Linked DNA regions of Caenorhabditis elegans. The protein of the gene in region 3 purifies or fractionates together with the protein of the main gene of each other region. This does not show direct contact. Each region holds a gene or a part of one and is shown on either strand. Other genes may lie near its edges.

What was found.
Region 1: the proteins of T09B4.8 (region 3) and alh-9 fractionate together in Caenorhabditis elegans (co-fractionation; one large-scale study listed by BioGRID). This does not show direct contact.
Region 2: the proteins of T09B4.8 (region 3) and alh-1 fractionate together in Caenorhabditis elegans (co-fractionation; one large-scale study listed by BioGRID). This does not show direct contact.
Region 4: the proteins of T09B4.8 (region 3) and ZK1320.9 fractionate together in Caenorhabditis elegans (co-fractionation; one large-scale study listed by BioGRID). This does not show direct contact.

The regions. Positions count from the first base shown.
Region 1 is NC_003281.10:5,853,545-5,860,777, reverse strand, and holds alh-9 (Putative aldehyde dehydrogenase family 7 member A1 homolog), read right to left. Parts: upstream 3,570-7,233; coding exon 3,363-3,569; intron 3,314-3,362; coding exon 2,856-3,313; intron 2,808-2,855; coding exon 2,082-2,807; intron 2,034-2,081; coding exon 1,829-2,033; 3' UTR 1,599-1,828; downstream 1-1,598. Other genes in the region: dpf-4 (Peptidase S9 prolyl oligopeptidase catalytic domain-containing protein), read right to left, coding at 1-94, 232-730, 788-1,146; cct-6 (T-complex protein 1 subunit zeta), read left to right, coding at 5,096-5,232, 5,284-5,347, 5,396-5,530, 5,579-5,751, 5,805-6,520, 6,567-6,961.
Region 2 is NC_003281.10:5,074,907-5,082,977, reverse strand, and holds alh-1 (Aldehyde dehydrogenase domain-containing protein), read right to left. Parts: upstream 5,214-8,071; 5' UTR 5,213-5,213; coding exon 5,120-5,212; intron 4,408-5,119; coding exon 4,279-4,407; exon of another isoform or gene 4,232-4,278; coding exon 4,035-4,231; intron 3,694-4,034; coding exon 3,416-3,693; intron 3,370-3,415; coding exon 2,623-3,369; intron 2,562-2,622; coding exon 2,473-2,561; 3' UTR 2,317-2,472; downstream 1-2,316. Other genes in the region: cox-6A (Cytochrome c oxidase subunit 6A, mitochondrial), read right to left, coding at 121-219, 889-1,040, 1,108-1,243; Inactive tau-tubulin kinase ttbk-6, read right to left, coding at 7,010-7,120, 7,164-7,251, 7,298-7,617, 7,663-8,010.
Region 3 is NC_003279.8:6,162,968-6,169,951, forward strand, and holds T09B4.8 (Alanine--glyoxylate aminotransferase 2, mitochondrial), read right to left. Parts: upstream 3,573-6,984; 5' UTR 3,565-3,572; coding exon 3,392-3,564; intron 3,348-3,391; coding exon 3,224-3,347; intron 3,106-3,223; coding exon 2,681-3,105; intron 2,634-2,680; coding exon 2,524-2,633; intron 2,467-2,523; coding exon 2,186-2,466; intron 2,136-2,185; coding exon 2,049-2,135; intron 2,005-2,048; coding exon 1,870-2,004; 3' UTR 1,752-1,869; downstream 1-1,751. Other genes in the region: T09B4.4 (EF-hand domain-containing protein), read left to right, coding at 5,050-5,083, 5,151-5,285, 5,335-5,437, 5,479-5,635.
Region 4 is NC_003280.10:9,681,662-9,689,139, forward strand, and holds ZK1320.9 (Acetyl-CoA hydrolase), read right to left. Parts: upstream 5,053-7,478; 5' UTR 5,051-5,052; coding exon 4,995-5,050; intron 4,945-4,994; coding exon 4,838-4,944; intron 4,785-4,837; coding exon 4,632-4,784; intron 4,586-4,631; coding exon 4,424-4,585; intron 4,315-4,423; coding exon 4,237-4,314; intron 4,193-4,236; coding exon 3,782-4,192; intron 3,079-3,781; coding exon 2,813-3,078; intron 2,765-2,812; coding exon 2,579-2,764; 3' UTR 2,427-2,578; downstream 1-2,426. Other genes in the region: ZK1320.13 (Purkinje cell protein 4-like protein 1), read left to right, coding at 1,168-1,238, 1,285-1,345.

The DNA.
Region 1 (7,233 bases), on a different chromosome or scaffold from region 3:
GTGAAAGATATCCAAATACAGTATAGCCTGGAGTTGGAATCTCTACAGTAACATCTCCCGATCGGACATACAAAATTCCGTCTGCGTTCATTACCTGAAATATTTAAATTTCATTAGGTCAATTTAAAAATTCGAATTTTTGTGTTTAGTTCAACTAATTATATTGAAAATTGTAAACTTAGGTTTAAAATATTTGAAGAATGTTTTGAATTTCCAATCTAAAATTCTCACCAAATATTTTTTATTCAGAACATAATTTCTGAAACCAAGCTGCCAAAGCGGGTAGCTGATCTCTCGTTGAATTGGATTCAGGTTCTTCTCGACGGAATTTGGCTCTGCAGCTGATTTATACACATTCCACCAGTTTGTGCTATCATTCACAGTTAAAAGCTCATCACCATCCCAAGTTGGTTCGGAATAGTTGATTTGTTTTCCAGTTCCGTCCTTCAGCGTCACCTCATTGCTGGATTCTCCACCTTTGAGATCAGCCATTCGGATGGATGTCTCGTCCCATGGCATATTTGGAAGGCTCCATTGCATCCAGACAAGCTTTTTTCCATCCGGGGAGACTCTTGGATAGGCGTAAAAGTCGGCTCCGTGAGCTATGACGTTTTGATTCTTGGTTGCTCGGTCGATGGAGATTAGTCGATTTTCGGGAAATTTTGCATCAGCTTGGTGGGTTTCATTAACACAAAATACATGGGTGTCAGTGGCTGAGAAGTCGGAGAATCTGAAAATGTTTTTTATTTATTTTTGAAAGTTATACACCATTTAAATTATCCCTGACCTAAACATTCGATTATTTCCTTCTGCCAATTGCTCAACTCCGGAATCCGCCGACTTTTGATAGAAAACTCCTTCGATCGTAGCAAACAGCACTGATCCATCAGCAAGAACATGTAGAGCACCTCCTCCGTACTCGTGAATTGCAGTTTGAACAGATTGACCATCAGCCCAGCGTGTACGAGTATCTCCATTCGTTGGTTTTGAGTAAAGCTCTCGTTTTCCAGTTACTGAATTCTGTTCAATCCAGTAGACATTGCCACCGACAACTTGCATCTCGCAGATAGACTTGCAATTACATTTTCCGAAGAGATCTGGTGTGATCGGACTATCCCAACTTCCGTAGACAGCTTCAGTTGCCATTTTTCGGGCACTTTTTATGCTGTAAAAATAGTTATTTTAAGAGAAAAATAAATATATTCGAGATAAATTCGTCAATATTTACAATGAAAGCGTTTTTGTAATTGTGAGGTTTGTTTGTTTCCAAAACAATCAATAAAATTCAATTTGACAGACTTTCTAAGTGGATTAGTTTAAAGTTGTTTAAAAACATTTTTAGAAAAAACTCTTAATTTATAAAACAGGCATCACCTAAACATACAAAAATGCCATCATTATAATAATTGTATTTAAAAAAAGTAAAACTTGCGTTGGGGCAGAAAACAAGCGGAAGATTCGGAGAAGAATCTGCGTGAAATTGAATTTATAGTTTTAGGAAATGACTTAAAGTGATGAAACCAATCAGCTTATCGGTTTTCAAGTATGCGTACGGTTTTTCACCAGTCTCGTCAATTTTATGACATATATGCTGAAAATATGTTGCACTTTATTTTGTGGAATGAATAAAAAAGGAAGTTTATTGAACAAACATTAAAAAAAAAACTAAGCATTTGGAATGATATGGCACAAAAATTCAAATCACAAAAGGAGAGGACAAGAGTTGAATTACACGCAATTTTAGAACGGAACTGAGAATAATTATGCATGAAAAAAAAACATCTCAAATTGAATGAGAAATGAATATTTACAGAAAATCTAAACTAAGCTATTCGAATTTAATTCCCTGAGCCAAAGGAAGTTCCTTGCTGTAATTGATCGTGCAGGTGGATCGTCTCATGTACTGCCTCCAGGAGTCGGATCCTGATTCGCGACCTCCACCGGTCTCCTTTTCTCCGCCGAAGGCTCCTCCGATCTCTGCGCCAGATGTGGGAATGTTGACATTGACGATTCCACAGTCACTTCCTTTTGGTCTGAAAATTAAATGTTAGTTTTAAATTCACAATTTCAGAAAATCTCACCCCATCCATTTGAAAACATTTTGAATATTTGTTGTAAATAGAGAAGAACTCAATCCTTGATCAACTTCATTATTGATTGCAATAGCTTCCTCGAGGGTTGAGAACTTCAGAACATAGAGAATTGGGGCAAAAGTCTCGCGAAGAACAACTGGAGAATCGTGCTTCAATCCAGTGACAATTGTTGGGAGAACAAAGTTTCCATCCCTCTCAAGAACTTTTCCACCGTACTCAATCTTTCCTCCAGAAGCAACTGCTTCGGCAACTGAAGCCTTGTACTTTCCAACGGCCTGTTGGTTGTGAAGTGGGCCAATAATTGTGTTGGAATCCAATGGACATCCGATTCTTGATTCAAATTGAGCATAAGCTTTCTTCAATCTCTCGAGAACTTGATCGTAAACCTTATCGTGAACAATGAGTCTTCTCGTGGTTGTACATCTCTGTCCAGCAGTTCCAACGGCGGCGAAAACTGTTGCCGGTACAACCATGTTCAAATCAGCATCCTCGTTAACAATGATAGCATTGTTTCCACCGAGCTCGAGTAGAAGCTTTCCGAAACGAGCCTGAACTTGTTGTCCAACGATCTTTCCAATTTCTGATGAACCGGTGAATGAAACTAGATTGACTCTCTTATCCTTCACAAGAGCTTGACCGACATCACCCTCTCCACAGACAAGGGAACAGAGAGCTGGATTTACATTATTGGCAACAAGAACCTCCTCGACAAGTCTGAAAATAGTTATTTAGTGATTACAATTATGAAATAAGCGAGCTTACTTGGTCACAGCAATAGCTGTCAATGGTGTGGATGGAGCTGGCTTCCAGACAACAGAATTTCCTGTGACAAGAGCTAAAGCGTTATTCCATCCATACACTGCACATGGGAAATTGAAAGCCGAAATCACACCAACAACTCCAAGTGGATTCCATTGTTCGAGAAGAGCGTGTCCTGGACGCTCAGAAGGAAAGATTTTTCCTTCAAGTGATCTAGAGAGTCCAGTAGCGTAGTCGCAAATATCGACGTATTCTTGAACTTCTCCAACTCCTTCGGCAGAAATTTTTCCCATCTCGAGGGACACGAGCTTTCCCAGGTTTTGCAACTGCGTACGGAGCTTGTCTCCGATTTGACGGACGATTTCTCCACGTCGTGGTGCTGGTACCTCGCACCAATCGTTATAAGCCTTTTTAGCTTCAGAGATGGCGATTTCATAGTCTTGTACGTTTCCATTTTGTACCTGGAATTTGAAAGTTTTAAAACGTTTAGGGTATGTTTTTGAAACTTACATTAGCAATAGGGGAGTTATTTGCTGGAGCAAATGACTGAACAACTTGTCCACTCGCCGCCCATTTTCCATGAAAGACTCCGGCGTTGTTCTCCGTGAGACCAAGCTCTTTCAGGAATCCGTACTTTGAATCGTTGATCAGCAATTGCGACGCCATTCTGGTCTGCAAGGTAGCTGCAGACATTCCACTGCTCAACAATCGGTTCATCTGGAAACAAAAATATATTATTGTTAGACGCTTTGAAACAGAAGGTATTAGAAAACGAAGAGGTTAGTGGTCAAAAAACAAGAATGAATTGAAAAATGTTCGAAGGAGATTGAATGAAATGTATGGGCGGAGCGAGACACGGGCAGATTGTTTATGACGACGAAAACTGAGATGAAATTGATTGTTAATCAAGGAATTCAAGGACAGATTGCAGATCAATATCTATAAGACTATAGAATGCTGTAAATTTTATGACGTGGAACATGATACAAGGCTAATGATTTACAGCGGTTACAAGTTGTGTTTTTATGGCAGGCAACGTTTTATATATCTGATTGCAGAAACATTTTTCAAAAAATGCGCTCATAGCTCATGAAAAAAAAAATGCGGCATGCCAGTCCGAGGTAAAAACGAAGAAATGACGAGTCACGTGACTATTAAAAATATGAAACCACTTCGTGATAATTATAATAATTCTTTGATTATTAATATTAACTCATTCCCTTGTCATAAATATCATTTTCTCAGTCGTGATCTGCGGAATAGTAGTATTCTGCGTATTCGCGGCAAAGAAGGCGTGCAGCCGGTTGATATATATTTAGTTTCCGAATCAATGATGATATGAAGACAACCATGATAAAGAAGAACACAATGCAGTGACCACTAAAATTTGTGAAATGGAAATTGTGGAAAATTGCAGTCGCTTGCTCGACACAAAAAGAGCTATTCGGCTTATACATAACTTCAGGATAAAATTAATTCCCAGAAATTCAAATAAAAACACAGATCCACTTAGTTTGTATATGTTTCGTTGAAAAGGCGAATATTCGCACAAATTTCAATCTCTCGCACAATTTTTAACTACGGGAAAGCTAACAACATGGAATTATTGTGTCAACTTAATTGTAAATGTTTTAAAATGTTATTTTCACTGTAGAGTGTATTAAGCAAAATGCATTACATTTTTGAGCAATTTCAAATAAATCCCAATTTGGAAAAACTTGCAAAGAATTTGAATTCCCGGTAATTTTTTTCAAATAAAAACGCTTACCTTCTTAGCTGCTTTTGCAGCAACTGATGCTGCATTGGCAGCGGCCGCGCATCGTTTGCATCGTCTTATTCCCGAAAAGGGTGTATTGGGGCATTTTTACTGCGGAACAATGTAAATAATGAAAAACCTAATTTTGAAACACCGCGTAAATCCTCCCCGAAAAGCGTAGAATGTCTCTGCGTGGTGAGACCCAGTTGCGAAATTGTGTGCGCCTTTAGAAGCGAATTTATTTTCTAGAATAAATTCAAACGAGAATCATTGTTTTTCAAGGATTTCTGTTGAAAGTCTTTATTTTTTATTTAAAAAGTTATGTAATAATACATTTTAGAACCTTTTTGAATTGTAATATGCTCTCGAACCTTTTTATGCGTGTCTATTTTCCTCTTGAATCGTTTTCCAATCTCATTTCTCCGTTTTTTAGTTTTTGTTGGTTTTACTGAGATATTTCATAGTTGAATTCTTGTTTTCAGGTAGTATGTCGTCAATCCAGTGCCTGAACCCGAAAGCTGAGTTAGCTAGGCATGCTGCCGCTCTCGAGCTTAATATTAGTGGAGCTCGTGGACTTCAAGACGTCATGAGATCGAACCTCGGACCAAAGGGAACTCTCAAGATGTGAGAATAAACTGATCAAATGTATAATTGAGACTATAATCACATTTTCAGGCTCGTATCTGGAGCTGGGGATATCAAATTGACGAAGGATGGAAATGTCTTGCTTCACGAAATGGTTTGATCGTTTTGTTCAGATTCAGCGTTTAGCACTATTTAATTTCAGGCGATTCAACATCCAACAGCCTCAATGATTGCCAAGGCTTCGACGGCACAAGACGACGTGACTGGAGATGGAACCACATCCACCGTTCTCCTTATCGGAGAGCTCTTGAAACAAGCCGAATCTCTAGTTCTCGAGGTGATCAATTTCCAAAGTTTAACTTTAAACATTTATTTAAAATTTTAGGGTCTTCATCCACGTATTGTTACTGAAGGCTTCGAGTGGGCTAACACAAAAACCCTCGAGTTGCTTGAAAAGTTCAAGAAAGAGGCTCCCGTTGAGCGTGACCTCCTTGTAGAGGTGTGCCGCACTGCTCTTCGTACCAAACTTCATCAGAAACTTGCTGATCACATCACCGAGTAAGAAACAAACAATTAAAAAGTAGTAAAAAACATTATCTTCTTAATTTCAGATGCGTTGTCGACGCCGTTTTGGCAATCCGTCGTGATGGAGAGGAACCAGATCTTCATATGGTTGAAAAGATGGAAATGCACCACGACAGTGATATGGATACCACACTTGTTCGTGGATTAGTTCTCGATCATGGAGCTCGTCACCCAGATATGCCAAGACACGTTAAAGACGCTTACATTCTCACTTGCAACGTTTCTTTGGAATACGAGAAGACTGAAGTCAACTCGGGACTTTTCTACAAGACCGCCAAGGAACGTGAGGCACTTCTCGCTGCCGAACGTGAATTCATTACTCGTCGTGTTCACAAGATTATTGAGTTGAAGAAGAAGGTTATTGATAATTCTCCAGATGGTAAGAATAAGGGATTCGTTGTTATCAACCAGAAAGGAATCGATCCTCCATCTCTTGACTTGCTTGCTTCCGAAGGAATTCTTGCTCTTCGTCGTGCCAAGAGACGTAACATGGAACGTCTTCAGCTGGCCGTCGGAGGAGAAGCCGTCAACTCAGTTGATGATTTGACTCCAGAGGATCTTGGATGGGCTGGACTCGTTTACGAGCATTCCCTTGGAGAAGAGAAATACACGTTTATCGAGGAATGCCGTGCTCCAAAATCTGTGACTCTTCTTATCAAGGGACCAAACAAGCATACCATCACTCAAATCAAGGATGCTATTCATGATGGACTTCGTGCTGTTTTCAACACCATCGTTGACAGTGAGTTTAAATTTTATTAACTTCTGTTCTAGTAACCTATTTTCAGAGGCTGTTCTCCCTGGAGCTGCTGCTTTCGAAATTGCTGCCTACGTGATGTTGAAAAAAGATGTTGAGAACCTGAAGGGACGTGCCAAGCTCGGAGCTGAAGCGTTTGCTCAAGCTCTTCTCGTTATTCCAAAGACACTGGCCGTAAATGGAGGATATGATGCTCAGGAAACACTTGTTAAGCTTATTGAGGAGAAAACCGCCGCTGGACCAGATATCGCCGTTGGACTCGATCTCGAAACCGGAGGAGCTGTCGAGCCACAAGGAATTTGGGACAATGTGACGGTGAAGAAGAACAGTATCTCGTCGGCGACAGTACTTGCATGCAATCTCTTGCTTGTTGATGAAGTGATGCGCGCTGGTATGACCAACTTGAAGCAGCCACAACCAGAATAAATATTAAAATTGTTTTTCTATTCCCCCCAGTGTGTCCGTTTCTATGATCTGTTGCCGTGTTTGATAATATTCCCCATCCCGTTCAACAAGCCCAACTTTACCGTTTGTTTTTATAGCTTTCTTCGAGCGATAATCAACAAAGATCGATCTGTTTTCTTTTTCTTTATTATCCCCCAATTTCTTAAATTTTCATCAAAATTTATTGCTTTTCATTTGAGAATTTGTTGATTTTTTCATGCACGTTCCTTTTTGATTTTGCGCAATAAAGGCTT
Region 2 (8,071 bases), on a different chromosome or scaffold from region 3:
TACAATTCTGAAACTACACTTGCGCAAAACATGTCTCGTTTTGTTAAACTAAACAACTCGAAGCACACACACAAATGGATGACGTTAAATATGATGATTAATTGTATCGTCCAGCATTGTTTAGTGCTTCTCACGGTCAGCCTCGAATCCAACTCCTGGAACAAATTGCTCCGCCTTGTTGTGGAACAATGAGTGATTTCCATCGGACCATGGGAATGGCTGAAATTGAATATTTATTAGGAATGCATTTTCAGAATGGATTGATTGATTTTCAAGAAAAAAATGTTGGCGATTCTAAATTGCAAAAAAGTAGGAAAGTTTTTGCTAAAATCTTTAATTTTGTCAACTTTTCTGTGTTGCAAACGTCGGAAATGAGTATTTATTTTATTATCATCCTTTTTTCATGTTTTGGTTGTTAATTTTACGTTATTCCGTCGATTTAGGTCAATTTTAGTCTGATAGACCAAAACAATAATTCAATAAAACTGTATTCCAGCAGCTGCAACTAGAACATGTTGGCTAAATTGGAGATTTAGCTAAAATTTTTCTTACTCTTTTTTTGAAATTTTTAACCATCTTGGGAATTTATTGAGACCAATCGTTTTTTTTAATTACTGAGAAAACGCCAAATTATAAAATTGTATAATCATTTAAAAGCTTGATTGTAGAAATTAAAATTCCAAAAAAGCGACTGTTTTTTTTTTAATTCGTTTTGAATATTATTAAACTTCACAGTCATCCTTTTTAGTTTGAAAAATGCCAGAAAGATGACATTTTTAAACAGTTTGCCGATAACTTCTTTAATGAGGAAGACATGAAAGCTAAATAACATTTTTTAAGTAAAATTTTAAACTATGGCAGATTTCAAGATAAAAACGAATATTTTACCTTGTTGCGAACGTTCAAGAAGGCGTACTCGACGTGCTCTGGGCGTTCGTGGCTCATGTGTTTTTTGTGATCCTTGAAGGCGGCATACATGGTAAGAGCCAAGCATGGAATCGAAGCAATGAAGAAGATTTTCTTCCAGGTCTCGCTAGCATCTGAAAAATATATTTTAATCTTTGAACATCAAAATAGAAACTATTTATTTTAAAAAAAAACACTTACTGTGAGCTTGCTTGAGTGGAGTGACATATGACTCTTTGAATCCTTCGACATTGTTGGATCCGTAAAATGATCCTGAGGATTTGCGTTGGAAGGTCTTGACGACCGAGCGGGTAGCTGGTTGAGCGAGACGGTTCATGTCGGATACCTTTAAAATTTGAAATGAAGTTGAGATTTGTGAGAAAAACGGAACGCGGGGGGAGAAGGAGGGGGAACAAACTTGTTTACGTGAAAATTGAGAAAAAAAGAGAAAAATCAGGTGATTTGATGAAAAAGTACAAAATTGTGATTTTTAAATCAGAAAAAGCAATAAAACAAACTCACAAAATAAAAACAAATGAGGTTTTTCTTACGTCTTAAGAAACCTAATAATTGCTATGAAGAATTTTAGAAATTTAAACCCGACAATAATGATTGAATGACATGGTTGAACACTTGCAGATTTGAATTCGAAAAAGTGGAATTTCTAGTCGAACAATATCGATTTACGGCTGCGGTTTATATGCTATTGTGGTTAAAAAATTCATAATTTGTAATTTAATCATTTGAAACTCAAAAATAATCAATAAAAGCACTGTTTGTGAAGTAAAACCACAGAAACGCACGTTTCCTCAAGAGAAAATAACGGAGAGGCCGTCTTCGCTGCGAGACCAGCCGGTGAAATGGCGTGCGCCTTTAAGGTGTGTGAAATAATTGTGCTGCAACATGCTGTCTAATTTGCCTATTATCTCCGTTAGAAATGCTTCAAATTTTCTGAAACTTTGTTACCTGTTAAAACATGACATGTAGAACGAACACATAAAAAATTATTAATATCGATTCATTGGCTAAAAAGTTATTGACGGAAATAAGTATCAAGTTTTGGTTCGATTCTTGCCCTTTTTGAGTTGCTTGACGGAGAATTGCGGAACCCACGAGATGTCTGCCGCCTTGCAGGTGGCCACTATATAAGCAACAACTGGTCCTGGCTGTCTCGTTCTTCCGAGAACATATACTAAAATTGGAACAATACAGAGAAGATTAGCATGGCCCCTGCGCAAGGATGACACGCAAATTCGTGAAGCGTTCCAAATTTTTTTTAAAATTTCGCGTAACCTACCGGAAGCTCGTAAAATTTTTGCCTTTTGAAGATTTTACGACTGATCCTCTAATGTACAGAGTAATAATTCGTTTGTCCTGAATCAATCAATTCACAAAGAAGTCGAGACTTTTATGAGTCGTCCTGTAGGTGTCTATTTCTTTCAGAATTCTTTTTCAATATATGTGAAAAATAGATAAATACAACACGTATATTAAGAGCAATAAACATTTTTCAAAAAAAAAAGCAAAAGGAACAAAAATTACAGGGAAAGCGAAAATTCAAGAAATTTATGAGTTCTTCTGTGGAACCTTGATGGTGACAGTCTTTACTTCAGTGTATGCCTCAAGACCATATTCTCCGAGTTCGCGACCGATTCCTAAAAGAAAAAGTATTTTTTAACTTTGGCATGGAGAAATTTTAATAATAAATTAGCTTACCGGACTGCTTGAATCCTCCGAATGGAGCAGCAGCATCGAACACATCGTAACAATTAACCCAGACAGATCCAGCTCTGGTTGCGTTGGCAATATGAAGTGCCTTATCAATATCCTTAGTCATAACTCCAGCAGCCAATCCATAAATAGTGTTATTAGCCTTTTCAACTAATTCTTCCATTGTGTCGAATCTAATGATAGTCATAACAGGTCCAAAGATTTCTTCTTGAGCAATAGTCATCTGATCCTTAACATTAGCGAAGATAGTTGGCTTCACAAAGTGTCCTTGATCTCCGTGTTTGGCTCCTCCAGTCACCAATTGAGCTCCATCCTTCTTTCCAGCAGCGATATATTTTAAAATAGTCTCAACCTGCTTTCCGTCAACTTGTGGTCCTTGAGTAGTTTTCAAATCAAATGGATCTCCGATAACAGCCTTCTCGGCCAATTCCTTGGAACGAGCTACGAAATCATCATAGATCTTTCCTTCGACAAATGTTCTGGATCCGGCACAACAGCACTGTCCTTGATTGAAGAAGAGTCCGTGGTTGGCTTGATGAACGGAATCATTGAGATCAGCGTCAGCGAAAATGATGTTTGGTGATTTTCCTCCGAGTTCCAAAGTGACCTTCTTGACATTCGATTCTGCAGCAGCCTTCATAACAAGTCTTCCAACTTCAGTTGATCCAGTAAAAGCGACTTTGTCAACATCCATGTGCGACGAAATAGCTTGTCCGGCAGTATGTCCGTATCCTGGAATTTATTTATTTGAGAAACTCACAATTTTTACAAAACTGACCTGGAATGATATTAACCACTCCATCTGGGAATCCAGCTTCTTTTGTGAGAGCAGCCACGTGAAGGGCTGAAAGTGGAGTCTGTTCGGCGACCTTCATAACGACTGTGTTTCCCATAGCCAACGCTGGTCCAAGTTTCCAAGCTTGCATAAGAAGTGGGAAGTTCCATGGAATAATCTGTCCGCAGACTCCCACCGGTTCGTGACGAGTGTAAGTGAAGTAGTCACCCTCGATTGGAATAGTCTTTCCGTGATTCTTGTCAGCCCATCCGGCGTAATAACTGTAATAAAGTTATTTTTTAATGTTAGCCATTTTTCCTTTTTTTACAATAAATTTTAATTTTTCTCATCAATACAAACAAAATTTGATTCAAAAAATTGCATTTTTTGGCTGTTAATTTTCTAAACAGTTTTTTTTGATTTACGGTTGTCCGGACAATCAAAAATTTTTGTTTTTCGATTTTTTTCTCTCATAAAATTGAGAATTCGAAATTATTTTTGTAGATCTCTTTGCTCATTTGGCAGTAAAGTTTTTCGTTTTTTCTGAGTTTTCTTCTTAATTACAGACTATTTTGGGATTTTTTTACAGCAAAATTCTCCAATTTATGCTATTCGAACTCACCGAAGAGTCTTGATAGAAAGTGGCAGATCAGCATTGTAAGCAACTGCATATGGCTTTCCATTATCCAAAGATTCCAAAGATGCCAAAATAACTCGATCTCTCTCCATTAAATCAGCTAGTCTATTCAGAAGAACTCCACGTTGAGAAGCATCCATTCGTCTCCACTCACTGCCGATACGGAATGCATTTTGAGCAGCCTAGAAAAGTTTGAAGATTGCTTTAAAATTCGAATTTAGATTTAAACCTTGACAGCGATATTGACATCTGTTTTATCTCCTTCTGCGACTTGAGCCAAAACTTTTCCGTTGGCTGGATTGATAGTCTCAAAAGTCTTTCCAGACTTGGCTGGCACAAATTCATTGTTGATGAAGATCTGGAAATTTAGATATAAACTTTTTTGAAATTTGAATCCCTGATTTGGAGAAGTATCACATTTCGTCCTAATTCTGCCCTCTAAGTTTATTTTCTCAAATCCGATCATCGTTCAGTTTTGATTGCCCTATCTCACTGTTGACCGAGTTCATTGTTCATTTCGTTCTCCACCTCAGGCGACCACGTTTTCCCTATGAGATAGTATCAGCTCTCTTCTTTTTCTTTTTATTATCATCATTTTAAATTGATCGTACTCTGTGTACTAGGTACACAACAGAGCACAACGTTGAGGGCACGTGGTTCCGTTGAAATAATGTAATGAAAACATGAGAAGAGAACATTTTTGCAGCAGAAAAACAGATCAAAAGGTTCAAATTCATCTTTTTGGTTTCTGTTGCAGTTTCTGATAACGGCGGTTTCAAAGCGCACGTAATGTGATGTTCTTGTAACTTTGAATTTCGCGGAAAATACGGATTTTTGAGAAAAACCAATAAGATTCGATGCACAATTTCCACTTTTGTTTTCTTTTTCTTTAAACACAAATTACTTGAAAATCAACGTTTTTAGAAATTGGCGATCCAATGGGCTCCGTAATTTTTTCTTTCAAAATTCAAATTAGAGTCTCTCTCAACATTGTCTCCATTTTCAAGGTTATCCTGTGTGATTCCTATCTTTTTTGCAATTTTTTTAAAACAACGTTCTGAGAAACTTACGCCGGTGTATTGTGGTTTCATGTTGGAAAGACCTGGTGGAACACCGGAGGCATTTCGTGCCTGAACTGTTGCCCGGAGAGCTGAACGGAGCATTCTGAAAATAAAAATTATAAAGGATTTACCCGAATAAGGCAAGATTTTAAAGAAATTAGAAAGAGGACGCAAAATAAAAATTTACAGGTGAATGAGGTTAGATATTGTGAGTTCACAGCAGCTCGTTTCTTCATAGAACATTTTAAATTTTAATTAAATAGAAAATAAACTAGTTCCAGTGGTAATTCGGAAACATCGAATCAGTATATCTAAAAACTGTGGCAAAAAGTGAATATCAGTATTGCAGAGACTTCTGACAAAATTATTCAAAATCGATTAACTAATCTTCTTCCAAAAATTCAACTCTAAACAAAATAGAGAAAACTAAAGATTAGATATGAAAAGAATGGACAAACACGCCAGCCTCGATGGTTAGGGTCGAAATAGATAAGAGAACACTGAGCGATGGTTGAAAAGTGACAGAGGAGGAGTCAAAAAGGCGGAGATGCAGAGAACTGCACACACAAATATACTTCAACGAAACATCTTCGAAAACAAAAAGATGAAGAAGCACGTGCTCGAATAGAACCAGCACAAAATAATGAGAATTTTTTGGAGTCCTGAAGAATAGTCAAGTATTGCACAACATGATTTAACCCTTGACCATTTAATATTTCCATGTCGAGATGGGATCTTTGGAAATGATGATAAATGAAAAACTTTGGAAAGATTGAACGACAGAGACAGGAATAGTTTCAGCAGAAATCAACTACAAAATTAAGAATTATCAAATATAAACAGAGTGGTTAACAACAAGATTCATCGTTAGTCCTGCCTAAAACCAGCAGAAAATAAACAAACGTGCAAGCATTTCAGCTGAGATTTGTTTTTATTGACAGATATAACTTAATTCTGAGAGGAAACGCGATCTTAATTCAAACGGAAGATAAACATTCAGGAAAATATTCTCAAACTGCGAGAAAATCCGAAAAAAAGAGCTAAAAATGTTTTTAAAATAGAAAGAAACTTCGAAACTGGCGCGGTGCCCTTGCTCAACAGAGCGCGCTTGGTGGCGAGACACTACGAACCTTTAGAAACTCTACTCCAGAGAAAGCAGTTACAAAGTCAACACTTGGCTTAATGAAGTAACAAGAAAAAAAGGACGAATGTAACGAAAATCTGAAGTTTTTTTTATCATATCAATTAGGCTTCGGGCTTCAAGAAAAAAATCGTCAGCCGTGGGAATCTTTTGAGAAAATGAAAGCATTCAAGTTTCTCTGCACATGTTTGAAAAATGTCATACAGTTGAATAAAAAAGCATTTCAGCATTTCACAAGCATGAGAAGCACGGGTCGCTTGAAGATTATTGTTTGAAAGTAATGATAATATGTCATAGGTCACAATTTGTATAGGCCACAATATGTCTTAGGTCATAATGGAACATGATTCATAAATGTTAAATAACAGTTGAAAAGAAAGGACTGTAGGATAGAATATTAAATTTTGTTTTCCATAAGAGACTATTGGAGCTGTAAACAAAATTAATGTTAAACTTTAACCAACAATTTCGAAGGTTCATGTTGTCAACAATGAAACCAGATGAATCTTGAAGTGAACAAATGTGTTAATTCTTCCAGTTAAACTTAGAATCCGAAAGATCTATGTTCGTTTTTTTTTTTGAAATCTGCCAAAAGATATTGGACGCCAGAACTTCATTAGCTCTAAGATGATGAACTATTAGGAGGAGCCAACTGTAGTTGAGGATTCATAGTTTTTGTTAATTTAGCAAAACAAAATCATTTTCTAGTCCTTTATTCAAATCTCATATATCTCTAGTTTTCAAGCTTCTTCCCACTTTTAAAGAACAAAATCCACTTCGGCTGGAGTAGGTGGGCCGTTGATTTCAAGAGGATTGGATTGGAAGTAGCGTCCGTCTGGATTCTCCCAAGCTGCAGGTGGAACAGACATCTGGAAGAATGAATTATTCTGAGAACTCAAAGGAAATTCTTACATCAGGCTCCTCATTTTCCCAGTCGAACTTTGAACTTGGAGTGATCTTCTCGTTCTCCATGACTTGCCAGAAACACTTGAAGATCATGCTGAAATTTAAATCGTATAAATGGATAGGAAATATAGAAAACTCACTGATCATCCGGTCTTTGGTAGTAATTGAGGGAAGCCAAATGAGGCATCAATTTATCCATACAAGCTGGCATATCAGACATGACATCCTTTGGCGTCAAGTTCAGCTTCATTTGCTCCACACGTCCGCGTCGATAATCGGTTTGCCATGGGAGTGCCTTTCCGCCGTTGAGCTCAATGATGACGTAGGGCAGTGACCATACATCGTCAACTCGTCCTTGCTCTTTACGGAGATGGACATTCGGAGACGCGTAACGAAAACTCCCACGAAACTCTGCAGAATGACGAGCTATACGTACAATCCATTTATTCTCTCGGGCATGCTGAAATTATTTGTAAATACTATGAAGTTTTAATGCTTAACTTACATAACGAGCGAAAGGTCTTCCAAGACCAAAATCCAAGATGTGAATGATTTTTGCTCTTTCACTATCCTTCTCATTTCCCAAAAATAAGTTTTGTGTATTCACATTACGATGGATGAATCCATTGTAGTGCACATATTTCAATGCATAAACCCATTGAATTCCAACACGGCTCCATGTTCCACGTGAAAATCCTTTGTTCACAACAAAATTCGTTGATTCCAGGTCTTGGAGATTTCTCCCCAATAACGTCATGACCATATAGGAGAAATTCATCTTTTTTCCATATAAGTTTAAGTTTGGGATGTGCGGAGCTGGTCCGTTGGCATTCAGCTTCTTCAGGACATGATCCTGAAATTTTCAGATACGTTTCTTGCTCAGCTGATACGTAGTCGTCTTAAGATAAGGATTT
Region 3 (6,984 bases):
TATTTGAAGGTAGGCACGAAACAATAGCATGGTTGCCTTAAAGGCGACCTACGTACGTCACGTGGTCACTACAAATGCCATGTGAACTTTTTTATCGTAATAACTGATCTTTAAACTAATCTAGGAGCGCCTACGTTTACGAAAAACAAAATTAGCTTTTAAAAGTTTATAAAACGGAATATCTTCATAACATAAAATCTAAACTCGCTTCAAACAATTACAAGAAATTTACTAGAAAGAATAAAATTAAATCAGTAGTCAAACTTGGAATAGGACTATTCTTAAGGAAGTCAAACGCAATAAGTACCCTTTTTTTTGGGCCGGCCCATTTTTGTGTATCCTTTCACAATGACATAACGATGAATGAAGCGATGTTTTCCCTTTCATCTCCTATTTCTCTTCTCAATGAACCAGTGAACACGATTAAGTGACCAAAATGACCAGCTAACAGGTTGTTTTATTACAAAGCGATTCACGCTGAAACGAAGCTGCAAAAAAGAGTTTGCCGCCAGCAGGGGTCGAACCTGCGACCTTGGGCTTATTAGACCCACGCTCTAACCGACTGAGCTATGGCGGCCAACACATGTTCAGGAGCCCGGTGCCTACGAGACAAAATGGTTGAAAATGAAAGATGGTAGCTGAGCGCGTGATGAAAATCAGCAGGTTGACCACCTGGTTTTTGTTTTCTATTGCTATAAAGTTAGAAAAAACGAAACAAAAATGATGCAACTAGAAGTACTGTAAGTCATGAGAAAGAGGAAGAACTTTCATCAATAAAAAGCAAGGAGAAACAATTAAAAAAAAAACTGAAAATGTTCTGTTCCGCATATAGGCAAATGGTGTAATAAGGAATAGATCCTTCAGGTTTTAAAGGTTCGATAGGATGACAGCTTCTGCAAAACACCGTCTTATCTAGATTGCCGGTGTTGTGTTGCAGTGTTGCATAAAAGTTGTAAAAATCGTATCCGATATCGGTCGCAAGCTAACAAACAATAACTAGAGGCCTCTAAAAAATATCACACCCTCTATAGAGGGTGTGATATGATGCAACTTGTAGGATTCAATACTGTTTTATATTAATAACTGAGAAACATGTCGAACTTTCAATCGAACGTATACGCATTCAAACAGCAATTCAAACCATATACACACCTTATAGATTAATGCATTCAACCTACGTGCTTATTGCTGTTTTATTCGTACGCTTGAAGAGTGCATTTTATGCCGCCATAGCTCAGTCGGTTAGAGCGTGGGTCTAATAAGCCCAAGGTCGCAGGTTCGACCCCTGCTGGCGGCAAACTTTTGCCATGCTATCACTTTCACCTTTTTCCGCATTTCGATTACATCATCAGTTGTGCGGTTGGCGTCGCCTAACCATCCGATGAGATAACACCTATGTCGCATTTGCCGCGCGCCAAGGACATGCGGATCGGAACCGGTTTTAAGCTTTTCTTAATCTCAATCCACAGCAGAAGCAGCAGCCGCAGTACATGCATGTCGCTTCATTTTTTTAAACATCGTCCGTCCACCAGCACCTTGTGACGGAGAAGTGAAGCGCGTACATAATGCCATAGTATACCAATAACACATAAACGATACATGTAACTGGATGCGTTTTGGAAGAAGCAAAAGAGAAATGCGAAAAAAGAAGAATACCAAGTTGACTGACGGATTTTCGTGTTCAGATCTGAATTTGTAGCTGTACGTCTTAAAAAAGGGAGTGGTCTGAACAATACAAATTGAAGCGTTTTGGAACAATAATTTCATAGAACCCGAAAGAATTTTGAATATTTGAATTATAGTTTGAAACAACAACAAAAAACAAGAATTTGGTAATATCGAAATGAAGAAATGACGGCGCCTATGAAATTATTTGTATTGTTTAATTGATTTGGCAATGATGTCTACAGCAAAATCGACATCCTTTTTAGTAATACACATTGGTGGTTTGATACGGAGAACGTTTCCATGGATACCTCCTTTTCCGATCAGTAGGCCTTGGTTCTGTAAATTAATCTGATAGTTAGACAAGTAAAATGGCATTACACCTTAGTGTCTTCGAAGATAGCTGCTGTTTTGGCTGCGGCAAGTGGTTTCCCTTGCTCATCGATAAGTTCCACTCCGATCATTAACCCCTAAAAATCATCAAATTGTATATTAAAATCTTTTTAGAGAGTTTTCTCACTTTTCCTCTAACATCTCCAATTGTCGCATCATCAATTGCTGCAAGTTGTTTCAAGAAGTAATCTCCAACAACAGCGCTGTTTTCCTGAAGCTTCTCCTCTTCAATCACTTCCAATACAGCTTTTCCAACAACGGAAGCTAATGGATTTCCACCATATGTATTGAAGTATAGAGATTTGTTGAAAGAGTCGGCAATTTCTTTACTAGTGACAACAGCTCCCAATGGGAATCCGTTTCCGATTCCTTTTGCCATAGTTACCATGTCTGGCAAGGCATCTTGTGCTGAAAATTCAAAATATTGATTTCTTAGTTTTAGTATTATTTATTTTAAAAACTCACATTCGAATCCCCAAAAATGAGAGCCGAGGCGTCCGAAACCGGTTTGTACTTCGTCAGCAATAGCGAGTCCTCCCCGTTTTTGTACAGATTCGTAAGACTTTTTGAGATATCTGGAAAAATCAAATACACATTTTTCACTTTTCTTTTGAGATTTTACCCATGTGGATACTGAACAGTTCCTCCAACTCCTTGAATAGATTCAATCAAGAAGGCAGCTGGTCCGGATGAATGAGAGAAATCGTGAAGAAGCATATCATCGAACTGTTCAATGTACTTATCAGAAGCTTGACAGGATCCAGGCTTGCAATCGCATTTTCTGTTCTTTACTTGAATTGGAGAGTCACGACAATTGCTTCCTCCAAAGATTCCACGATATGGATCAGCATTCAATGACTTAAAAATGTTGAATCCATGTGGAAAAACTGGTTTCCAGTTTCCCAAATTAGTTGCTCCAAGAACAGTTTGGGTCATTCCATGATATCCATTTCTCATCGAGATAACATCAAATCGTCCTGTGTAGTTACGAGCAAGAGCTAAAGCCAGGTCATTTGCTTCCGATCCAGAGTTCACAAAGAAGACTGACTGAAAATTTGGATGTGAAGAAACGACTAGATATTTAGTAATTCACTATAGGAAGGCCTAACAGTTTCAAGTCTGCAAACTGTAGGGTTTGATAAAAGGGTAAAAAATAAAAACTAACATTCAATTTGCTTGGGAACTTTGAGAGCAACTTCTCAGCATACTCATAAATTGGTTCAGTGTGATAAATGGACGTGGTATGCCAAAGCTTCTGTGCTTGCTCGGTAAGAGCTGCGTTGATTTTTCTGAAAGCATAAAATTCTCATAAGCTTACAAAAAGAATACTCACGGATGACAATGTCCAACTGAGACTGTGACAATTCCACCAAAGAAATCGAGATATTTCTTTCCATTCGAATCAAAAAGGAATTGTTTTTCACCTTTCGTAATCAAGAGTTGATCCTTGTAATAGGTCACATGTCCCTTTGGAAGTAATGGACGAAGTGCCTGCACTCGTTGCATGGTTTAAGCTGAAATTTTTTCAATATTTGATGAATCGATTAAAGGGATCCAAAAAATAATGACTTGTGGAAAATTTTGAAAAGTTCACGGAAAAATCTACTTTCGTGTGGAATACAAGTTAAATACAGGAAATCATTAGAACTTATAGGCATTTAAGAAACACAATTGCACACAAAATAACTGGAGGGTGTGTCAAATGTTTCAAGGTCAAGTTGGATATATTACACAACACACACACACAAAAATGCACCAAAAAGACAACTGTCTATGACTGTCTGCGTATCTTCCATTCAAATACTTTTTCATTTGGCTCTGAGACAGTTGTCGTTGGGAAAATTAGAGAGAGTGACCAATAAATGTGTGGAGAAGAGAAAAAGAGCAACGTGTTTGAGGACAGAAGTGCAAAAGAACAACAAGTTAAAAAATTAAAGAAAGAAAAATGTCATTATTAGAACGGTTCTTTGTGAAAAACTGCCTGCAAAAAGAAAAAATGAAAGAAAGAATTTTCATAGAACAACTGAAAGATATCAAGAGATGATAATTGATAACTGTTGCACGTATCAATTGATAAAAATGAATAGGACATTCAATTCTGATTATTGACCCTTTTAATAATATTCTTGATTTGACTTTATGTGGTGGATCCGAAGAAATACTTTCAATACTTTCTCGTGGGGCTTAGTTCAGGCTTGGGCATAGGCGTAGGCTTAGGCTTAGGCAGGCCGGGAGGAGGAAGAGAGCACATGAAATTCCAGAAAATTGAATAGAAGAAAAAGAATAGAAGAAAAAAAAAAAGAAAAAATGCACAAAACCCATGATAAATGGAATTAATAAGAGAAAAAATTGCACAATCTTGAATTGTATTTTTCTTCCCCTCAAGTTTTGATTTTGCGGTATTTATTAAAAGTTTGGAGTATTCCGAGTATTATTTATAAAACCAACTTAACTGTTGAATCCATAAAGTTTATTTTCCGTGTGACTTTTTATTTATAAGCAGTACCCGCAGTGTATTATATTCTGTAAAATTGCCGAGTTGCCGAAAATCTAAGTCTTCTTTCCTTCTCGCATCAAAACTTTCTCTTTTCAATCGCAACCGTTCTCGTGCGACTTTCTTTTTCTCTTCTTCTTCACAATTTCTTTGCTATTTCTTCTTCTCTATGTAAAAGATGCAGATAACCCAAATTTGCGTATTGTTATCAATACCAGTGTTGCATACAACATCAATTTTCTCATTTATTGATTTTTGTTTTGGTCCAAGTTGAGGATAATTTTTCGTTGAGAAAAAAGCTTGTATTCCTGCCAAATCTCTCGTTTTTTCTTGTTTTCCGCCTTTGTTTTGACCCGTCAAACACCGTTCCGCGATTCGCTTTTTATTTACCTACGCTCTCTCGTTTTCTCACACAGTTCTTTTCACAGAATTTCAATTCACATTTTGCTGCTCGGGTTTGGCTATTTTATATATTAACATTTTAAAACAAAGAAGAAATGACTGAATTTTTCTCGCAGAAGCAGATTGATGGTAAGTGAAACAACACTATAATTCCAAGATTTGACTCCGAAATCTTTACTTTATTGTTTCTCATCAGAAATTCGTGAATGCTTCAACTTTTATTCAACCAGTGGAGTACTAAGAACAGATTCTCAACTTCGATGTGCTCTCCGAAGTCTTGGATATTCTCCAACTGCTTCCAAAACTGATATTTATTTCAAGAAGCTTAATAGTATGAGTTTTAGAACATTACACTTCTGAATGATTGCTATTTATTTCAGAAAAACCAATCGAATTTGCAACATTTTTGGACATTTGCAAAGATGAACAAAATAGTCCGAATCCACTGACGGAGATTATCAAAGCGTTAAGTGGATTGGATAGGTTAGTTGATGTGCTTTACAAAATAAATACGAAATTTTCAGAAATAAAACTCGCGCAATGCCATCTCGTGAGCTTGCCGCAATACTTTCACACGTTGGGGAGCAAATGAGTCCAGAGGAGATTAAATATCTTTTATCAAAAGTTGAGGTCAACGGAATGGTTCCTCATCAAGCACTTATTGAGTATATTTCCAAATGAAATTTACTTTGAGCAAATAAAAATAAATTGTTTTTATCTGGGAGCTGTCTAGTGAGTTATTGGATTAAGAACGGCTGCAATATATTTGGAAATAATTATTAAAAAATTATAATTTTCGTCAGGGCAGTCACAAACATGTCAGAACAAAACACGAAAAGTAAAATTAAAAATAAAATCCTAATCTTTTTCTCGCGACTAAAATGTCTGAATCAGTATTTTAGTAAAGAAAATACCCCAAAATAGTTTTGGATAATTTGGTAATGACCAAAATAGCAGATAAAACAAAAATGAATACAGATGGATTGAAAATTTGACTTTTGGAATCACCAAAATCACCAATCGCCAAAAATGCGAAGTGCACAATTCCAATGATGCATAAATATGTATAGAGCTCGTCCCGGTTTAATTTCAATTCTTGGAATGTTAAGTTTACGTAAAGTCATGTTAAAGCTTTCGAAGTGTATCAAACTTTCAGTAAAAAGCTTGAAATACCCAGCTTTCCGAGGCCGTCTCTGATCTGGCAAGTTGAGCAACGTTGATTCCAGTTTGTACTTGGATTGGAGGCGGCCTGAGAATCCTGAATGTTACAAGCTTTTTGCCAAAAAGATGTAGATATAGTTCGAAATCTTGAACATGACTTCAGGTAAATCTAACATTTCCAGAAATGAATTCAAATCAGTTTTTGTCTCCTCCATAGGAGATGTTCCAAAATTTGTAGCCGACACCAAATTTCTTTTCGTCAGAATTGTTTTGCGTACCATTATCACCTCCTCGAAATAAACAGATGAACAACAAACTATCGTGAGGGAGTACTCCGCGCGAGTCGTTTTTTTTATCTTCATGCTATGTATTAGAAGGAATTCGGCATTTAAACATGCAGTACGTGAATCATTACTTCCGACCGGCTTCAATGTTAGTCATGTCCGTTGTGTCAAAATTGAACACAAAAAAGTGCCGAACGCTTTTTGGTTTTAGTCATGACATACACAAATGACACATTGCAAAGAACAAAAGTGGATACCGACACATTATGTGGTCTCCTTTTTTGTAGCAAAAAATGGTTCTTGTGAAGAAATTGAATTCTTCAACAAGGAGCAACGTATCACATTGATATTGTTTCAAAAAAAGTACTCGAAATGCCCAAAATAACAAACTTCCAAAATACCAAAATACCAAATTTCACAATGAAACTTCTCAAAAAATTATGCTGAAATCTTCAATTTTTGAAATTTTTCTTTATCGTTGCTACCGGAAATTGAAAATTATAAATTTTCCCGCGCACTCCTAAAATAAATGTTCTTATGTATTTAATTTAATGATGAAAGTTCTTATGTATTTAATTTAATGAT
Region 4 (7,478 bases), on a different chromosome or scaffold from region 3:
AACTTCATATAACGGAGATAATTTCTATCTTACGGAGCGGTGGCATATGAAAAATTGTTTTCCATGCTTCAAGTTTGTGAAAATTCTAAGAAATATGGCTGAGATTTAGTTAAGTGTGTTGCAGAAAACTAAAATCTGGCAGTTTTTCATCTTAAAATTCGGAAACTGGTCTTTCTGCATATAGCAAGAAGTTATCTGAAAACAGTACCCGACAAATTTCTACAACTGTTTTACTGAAGGTGTGCCAAAATAATTGTTTTCGTGATACGACCCAACTGACAGCGGACCATATTCAATAGCAACTTTGCAGCTGCTACAAACATAGCGAAAATGTTGAATTTTCCTAGTTTTTGAAACGAAAGAGAAGAATAAAAAATAGAATTCCCAGGACAGGTGGCTCAGGAGCCCTTCACTCACGATTCTCATCATTTCAGACATCCGTTTTTTAAACATCACACACCCATCATCAGATAGTGAGAAAATGTGCGTAAGGGGGGAATTGTGTGCCAAATTGCTTCTTCTTCGTCCTTTTTCGCCGTTTCTCGGCACTTTTCGCATAAATATACGCTCACGAGCAAATGGATTCGGAAAGGGGAGGGAAAACTCATTTAGAAGTGAAAAAAAGGAAGCAGATGGAGGAGTAGATGCAGAAAAAAAGAACCTTATTCAAACATTTTCGAATTGCACCGGGAAGTTGGAAATTATAATGAGAAAGGGAACTGGAAAAATACAGTACCGCCTATTAAATACACCTCAACTTTTTCTGGAAATTTTTTGATTTTTATGATCTTCTTTCTTTGAATATCCTTGTATGTTTTACCTTGGATAAAAATGATAATAAACTAAAGAACATTTAACAACTACCGTACTGATAAAGACGCACACGGATTTTCGCAGACGATATTCGAACATTTTCCAATTATTGAATTTGGCTGCAAACGTCAACTTTCCATCTACAATATTCATACACATTTAAGTACATCATGAGAATTATTGATGTTCCAGTTTGATCAAGTTTTCTTGGAAATTTTCTGAATATTTCCGCTACTGCTATTTATAATTCATGAGCATAACACATAACTACGTGAGATTCCAGATAAACTAAACATATTTTTGTTAGTCTAGTTCAAAAAGTTTTAGCTTGCCCGCTAACATATATTTTTTCAGGAAGAAATCGACATCAACTTGGAAGATCCACAAGTTCAAGACGCTGCAAAGAAAATTCAAAATGTGTTCCGGTAGGAGTGCTTCAACCTCCTTTCCCCAAAAATATGATTTTTTCAGAGGAAAACGATTCGGAGCCAAAGCCGCTGCGCCGGTAGTTGCTGCCGTTGATAAGCAATAATTTGATAATCTATTGTGAATAACTTTATAATAAAAACTTTTTTAATTCAAAAGACCAATAAATGTTAATAAAGTGTACGAATAAATGATATAATCCTTTCAGAGACGTTTGTCGTGCCATCACGATATACGAGGAATATGTAAAATGTGCAGACGGTGCTCGAGAAGCTGTGAAAATGTTCATGGATACTAATCCGTCGTACACTGGAAAGCATCTCGTAGAATTTGCCGCGAGATTGTAAGCGGATGGTTCCAGAATTGGATATTTGGTAAGTCTATAGTAGGCCTTATATTTGATTAGAGACATTTGAACGGAGACAAAGTTATGAAAAAAGGTAATTTTAGGATTTCTTGGATCAAGCAAAGGTATCTCACCCTATCACTTCAGAGAACGTCCCCTTTTGGCTGGAAACAATTCGTCTCCTGACTTCACTGGAATGCCCCGGCCTCATCAAAATGCTCGCTGGACAATGTAGTTAGCATTGGGACGGAACAATTCAACCTCCAATTTGTGGAAAGTTGCCTATGAGGCGATTGGTGGAACCCAGAAAGAGCTTTTCGATATGTTTAAATGTGGAATCGATCATGAGTCCAAGAGAGCAAGTCAAGTTCCACCATCTTCGGGAGTTGCTCCACCATTGATCATTCAAGCCTATCCAAATGCACAACATTCGGTAAGATACCGTTTTTAACTATAACGTTTTATGTAGTCGAGTAATTCTTACTATGCTATTAGCACTAAAATCCTCTTAAATTGTGTTGGGTTTCAGGGCTCCGATCCGAACATCCACCACGGATAGCCACATCGATGAACAAGTGATTTGAAAATTGTACGTGATCGTGATCGGTTAATTGTGTTTGTCCCACCACTCCCCATCTTCACATGTGTACTGTTCCCACTTGATCACTTCCATCTCTCTTTTTTTTTGTCAACTTTAGAATTGCCTCTGATATTTCTTCATGATTCTTTTCCTGTATGCTTTCATTACATCCATGTTTTATAATTGTAGATTCCACACTCGCCCGACTCTCCTTCAAAATGTTCAGATAACCTCCAAATAAATTATTGTAGTGTGAAGTTTCAAAAATAACATTTTTATAATTTAACCTATGTGCAATAAGAAAACACATCAGAAGTCGAACCGTATAATACAAAGAAATGAAAACTAGATTTAATCGGGCACTCGGTAACCATTATACCCAGTAGTTGAGGGAGCTGCAATTGATTCGCTTCTCACGCAGATGGCATCACTTTGAATCGATCAAATGCAGCCTTTTCGAGAGCTTCACGATCATCCGGATGAGAGATTTGAATCAACTCATAGGCTCTTTGACGAATTGATTTTCCCCATAGATTGGCGATGCCATGCTCGGTAACGATGTATCTGGCATGTGCACGTGTCGTGACCACTCCAGAACCCTGAAAATTGAACTTTAACCTTCAATATAGCTTCCGTTTATAACTAACCTGTGTCAAGAATGGAACAATTTTCGTTTGTCCCTTAGTGGTTCTCGATGGTAATGCAATAATCGCCTTTCCAAGTCCATCAAATCCGTGTGGACTGGCAGCCATAAAGTCGACTTGTCCACCGAATCCACTGAAAAAATTGCGTCCAATCGAATCCGATACGATTTGTCCCGTCAAATCGATTTCAATCGCTGAGTTGATTGATGTCATTTTACTGTTACGGCGGACGATGTCGATATGATTGGTGAAGTCGCATGGGGCAAAATCTGAAAGTATGATTGGGTTTTTAGTTGGAAGATGGAAAAAATCGAATTTTTTTTTTTTTGGGTTTCTGTAGTTACAATTTTTTTTTGATATATTTCTTGATCCAAATTGAAAATTAATTTTTTAAAAATTTTTCTGATTAAAAAAACAATTTTCTCTGTAACGGTTCTGATGAACACATAATTGGGACCAAGGGTGGCGGTTTTTAAAAAGAAAAATCGAAGGCTTTTCGTTTTTCAATTTTTAAAAATTTGTATTATAAAATTCGATTTTTCAAAAATTAGCTTAAAATTTTGGTCATTGTTTTTCTTTTTAGAATCAATTTATTTATTTATTTATTATCAATAAAAAACAAAATTAGATAAAAATCATATTTTATGGTTAATTTTCTGAACATTTTTTTTTCGATTTTTCCATTTTTAAAAAATTCGAAAAATCGGAATTTTCCAAATTTTCGAGATTTCGTTTTTCCCTCATCGGGACATTTTTGAATTTTGGAATTTTTTTCGTTTTTACAAAATTTTTGTATTTTTCCGATTTTTCTGTTTCGCTCATAAAACCAACAAAAAATATCTAAAAAATTTTAAAAAATCGTTGAATTAATTTTAACAGCAAAAACGGATATCTGTGGTATCCTTGCACAGTTCTAAAGTTATTTTTAAAAAAATTAAAATCACTTTTACAATTGGTAAAATAAAAACTTACAAAACTCTGGATTATTATCGATTTTCTTATAAAATTCCTTTGTTCCAAAAGCAAACGAGGAAACAGTTTTTCCTGGCATAAAAGCCTTCTTTTGATTATTAATAATTCCACGATCAATCAAATCAATAACTCCATCACTAAACATTTCCGTGTGAACTCCAAGATCTTTGTGCTGCTTCATCGCTGCCAACGCCGAGTCTGGAATTGCTCCGATGCCGAGTTGAAGGGTGGCTCCGTTGTCGACAAGGTTCTCGGCAATTATTTTTCCGATTCTTTGTTCGGTTTCAGACATTTCTTCTCCACCAGACTGACGGAAAGCGATTGGTCGATCCGTTTGAACCATTGCAGCGAAATGAGAAGAATGGACAGTAGTGTGGCCTCGGGTACGGGGCATTGTGCTGTTGACAAGGGCTGAAAAAATATTTTTTTGCAACTTATTGATTATTTATTTTTACCAATAATTTTTTTGGCACTAGTCGCTGCAGCCAGTGTTGTGTCAATGTCGACTCCAAGTGTACAGAATCCGAGCTCATCTGAAATAGAAAAAAAAACAAATTTTTAATTTTTATAAAGTTGTTAATCACAAAACCCTGTTTTCGCTTTTTTTTTTATGGCGACTTTTAATCAAATTTAAATTCTTACCAGGTGGAGAGACAGTAATCAGTGCAAAATCAACATTCAATGTTCCACTTGTGTATAAAGAGGGAACTTCAGAGAGGAAAATCGGAGTGTAGTCAGCGGCGCCCAAATTAACATTTTTACGATTTCCCGGGCAAATGAACAGGCTGTTGTTTTGAATTTTTCCTGAAAGCAGTAAATTTAAAAATTAAAATACTTGAAATTGACTCACCGTGATATTTAGGGTCGAATTGTGGGCAATTTCCGCTTAAAATTAGATGAGACATTCGGATATTGTTGAGATTTGCCGAATCAACACGACGACAAAGTGCTTCGAGAAGAACATTGGGAGCAGACGCATGGTTTCCAACGTAGATATCAGAATCTGAAATAATTTGAATTTTAGAGATTTTTAATTTTAATTTCTCGGATACAAACCTGAATTCACCATCGCCAAGGCTTCATCTGCCGATACATATTTTGGCACGAATCCAGGTTTTGCGTGCAATAATTTTGTTGGTAGACGAGGCCCATTTGTGAAATGCCTGAAAATCACAGTTCAAAAAATTATCGACTTTTGTAGAAGAACACTAACCTTGAGAGGGAAATAACTGAACTTTTAGATAGTTGCTTGGCCAGTTTCAAGGACATTTCTGCAAAAATGGAAACAATTAAAATATTTTTTCAATTGAATTGAGAAAAAATCAAAAAGAAAACTCAGTGAATGATAAAAGAAAAGCTATCGAAACCTCACATGTGAATGCTTTTTCAATGTTCTATGTGCTCCACCTCCTTCAGTTCTTCCAAAACATTTTTCTCAAATTTCTCTCAAAAATAGAATCACGAGGAGATGAGAGAACAAATTAAGATCACTGATAACACATCAATGAATCAGTTTTTCTTTTGACAAAACTAGAAAAAGTTCGAAAACCCTACAAAAACTAGAAATTGTTCACGAAAATCAAAAAATCGCTTCGAAAAAAAATGTTTCCAAACAAACGACACTCCGATATCCCGATGGAATGTCGGTGTCTCTCGATTTCATGCACTCTCTAATAGTGTAGTCAAGCGTTTGATTTTTGGATTTTTGAACTTTGCGGGAACCCGGAAGAGTTAAATTTTGACTCAAAATAATAATGACAATTGGAATGAAAATATAATTTGTATCGTGATTTCACTAGATTTTGACGTTCCTTCTTAAAGGCGCACGGATTTATTCAGATGGGTCTTGGCGCGCAAAAAGTTTACGGTAGCTACCATAAACTTTTTTGCGCGCTGGGACACTTCTTAAGAAGGAGTTTAAAAATCTAGTGAAGTTACGATATATGTACTGTCACACGGACTAGAAAGCATAATAAAGAACCAAGATTTACAGAATTTTTCGGATATTGAACGAATATTTATGCAATTGCCTACATGCAAAACATCCGAAAACATACCTTTGTTCAATAATACAAAAAATGTATAGACCGCACGGGAAACTCGTCTTTGACCAGAAATGTTAATTTGTGATTGTTCAGCTCAAACATCGAAACACCTAGGATCCCTTCCTAACTTTCACAGTCCCCAAATCCTTTTTCTTACCGAAATGTATACATCCTGAGATCTTTATATTCAGAATATCCTATTTTGGTTCTCGTGAACAATTTGTTTTATTGCTCACCGAAGTGCTCACCCAAACGACTATTTCGAACCAATTTAAACTCGGTTTCCCAAATTTTCTCGTCAATTTTCCACTTTGTAGTATCCTGAAAAGTGTCTATCTATCACTTTTCTCGAACGGCTATTTTTGGGGCTATTGGAACATTTAAATTTTTTGTAGAACACCTTATGCTCTGAACTTTTAAGAAAATTTTGGATAAGATGCTTGATATTCTATTCCATTCAGGATCATCAATGAATAGCATTCTCCTTACGTTTATTGTTTTTATGAATTTCTTATAGAGTGAATTTTGTGCAAAATTAATGTGGGAAAAATAAAGAAGCGGAAAAGTACAAAACAACTTTGTTTTCAACGTATGGGATAGCTTTTTCTTTGAAAATTTTATAGAGTTCATACACAAAAAAAGCGGTCTAGAAGCTTCAGTTCATTCTGAAAGTTGGCAGATAACATCTAGATCCCTTTTCGTATTCCAGGCCCCCATGTCTGCAAGATGTCTGCAAGTCTGCAAGAATACACCATTTGACATTATTCGCAGTAAACCAAATGTGCCAAATAGTGCGACAAATGTTTTGTCAGTTGACAGCATTTTTATTAGACAACTGAAATTTGAGCTACAGGCTAGAGTTTGGAATAATATGAAGTGAAATTTTAACAGCGTCTGAGTACATAAACACAACGTAGCTCAGCAACGAAAAGAGATACATGAAAATGGTTAACTGAAGAAATGTAGCTTTTAACATGTTTATTGATTTTGTAATGTTTTATTTCTTCTAACTTTAAAGTTTCTTAAGTGAGCGACGGTCAAATTTAAAAATAACTTTTCCTAGCCTTTTTTGAGATTGAGCATCATCAACATGCGACAACAAGAATGTATGAAAATATCAAATAGCTGTTTAATATCTAGACACATCAAAGCAAATTAATACCTAAACTTTAAAAAAAATTGAAAAATTAAAAAAAAAAATTTTTTTCTTCAGCCATCGTGAGAGTTTGAAGATGGGATATGTTTTTAAGGTGTCCAATATGGCTGATATTGATAAGCAAATATGTTTGCTTGTAGATATAGTGTTTGAAAGTGAAATACTTTAGTAGCTATATGTTTGAATCAGTTAGCCATAATTGTGTGTCATCAAAACAAAAAGGAGACGATATGTAGTCGTAAAACTATAAACGAGTGTGGGTATTTACAACCTCACTCTGGGAAGAAATATTTGAATTCTGCAATTAGTTTATTGTTGTTTTACAACCATTTCAATCAAAAATAGCTAACAACTAAAAGCGGAGTTACTTTTTGAGAACGGTCTACAGCTGAATTTAAATCAATTTCACTACAAATGAATACTCTCGAATTTGATCCCTAAATAAAACCGATCAAGCCACTTCTACAATAAAAAATGCTGTGTTAATTATTTCTTA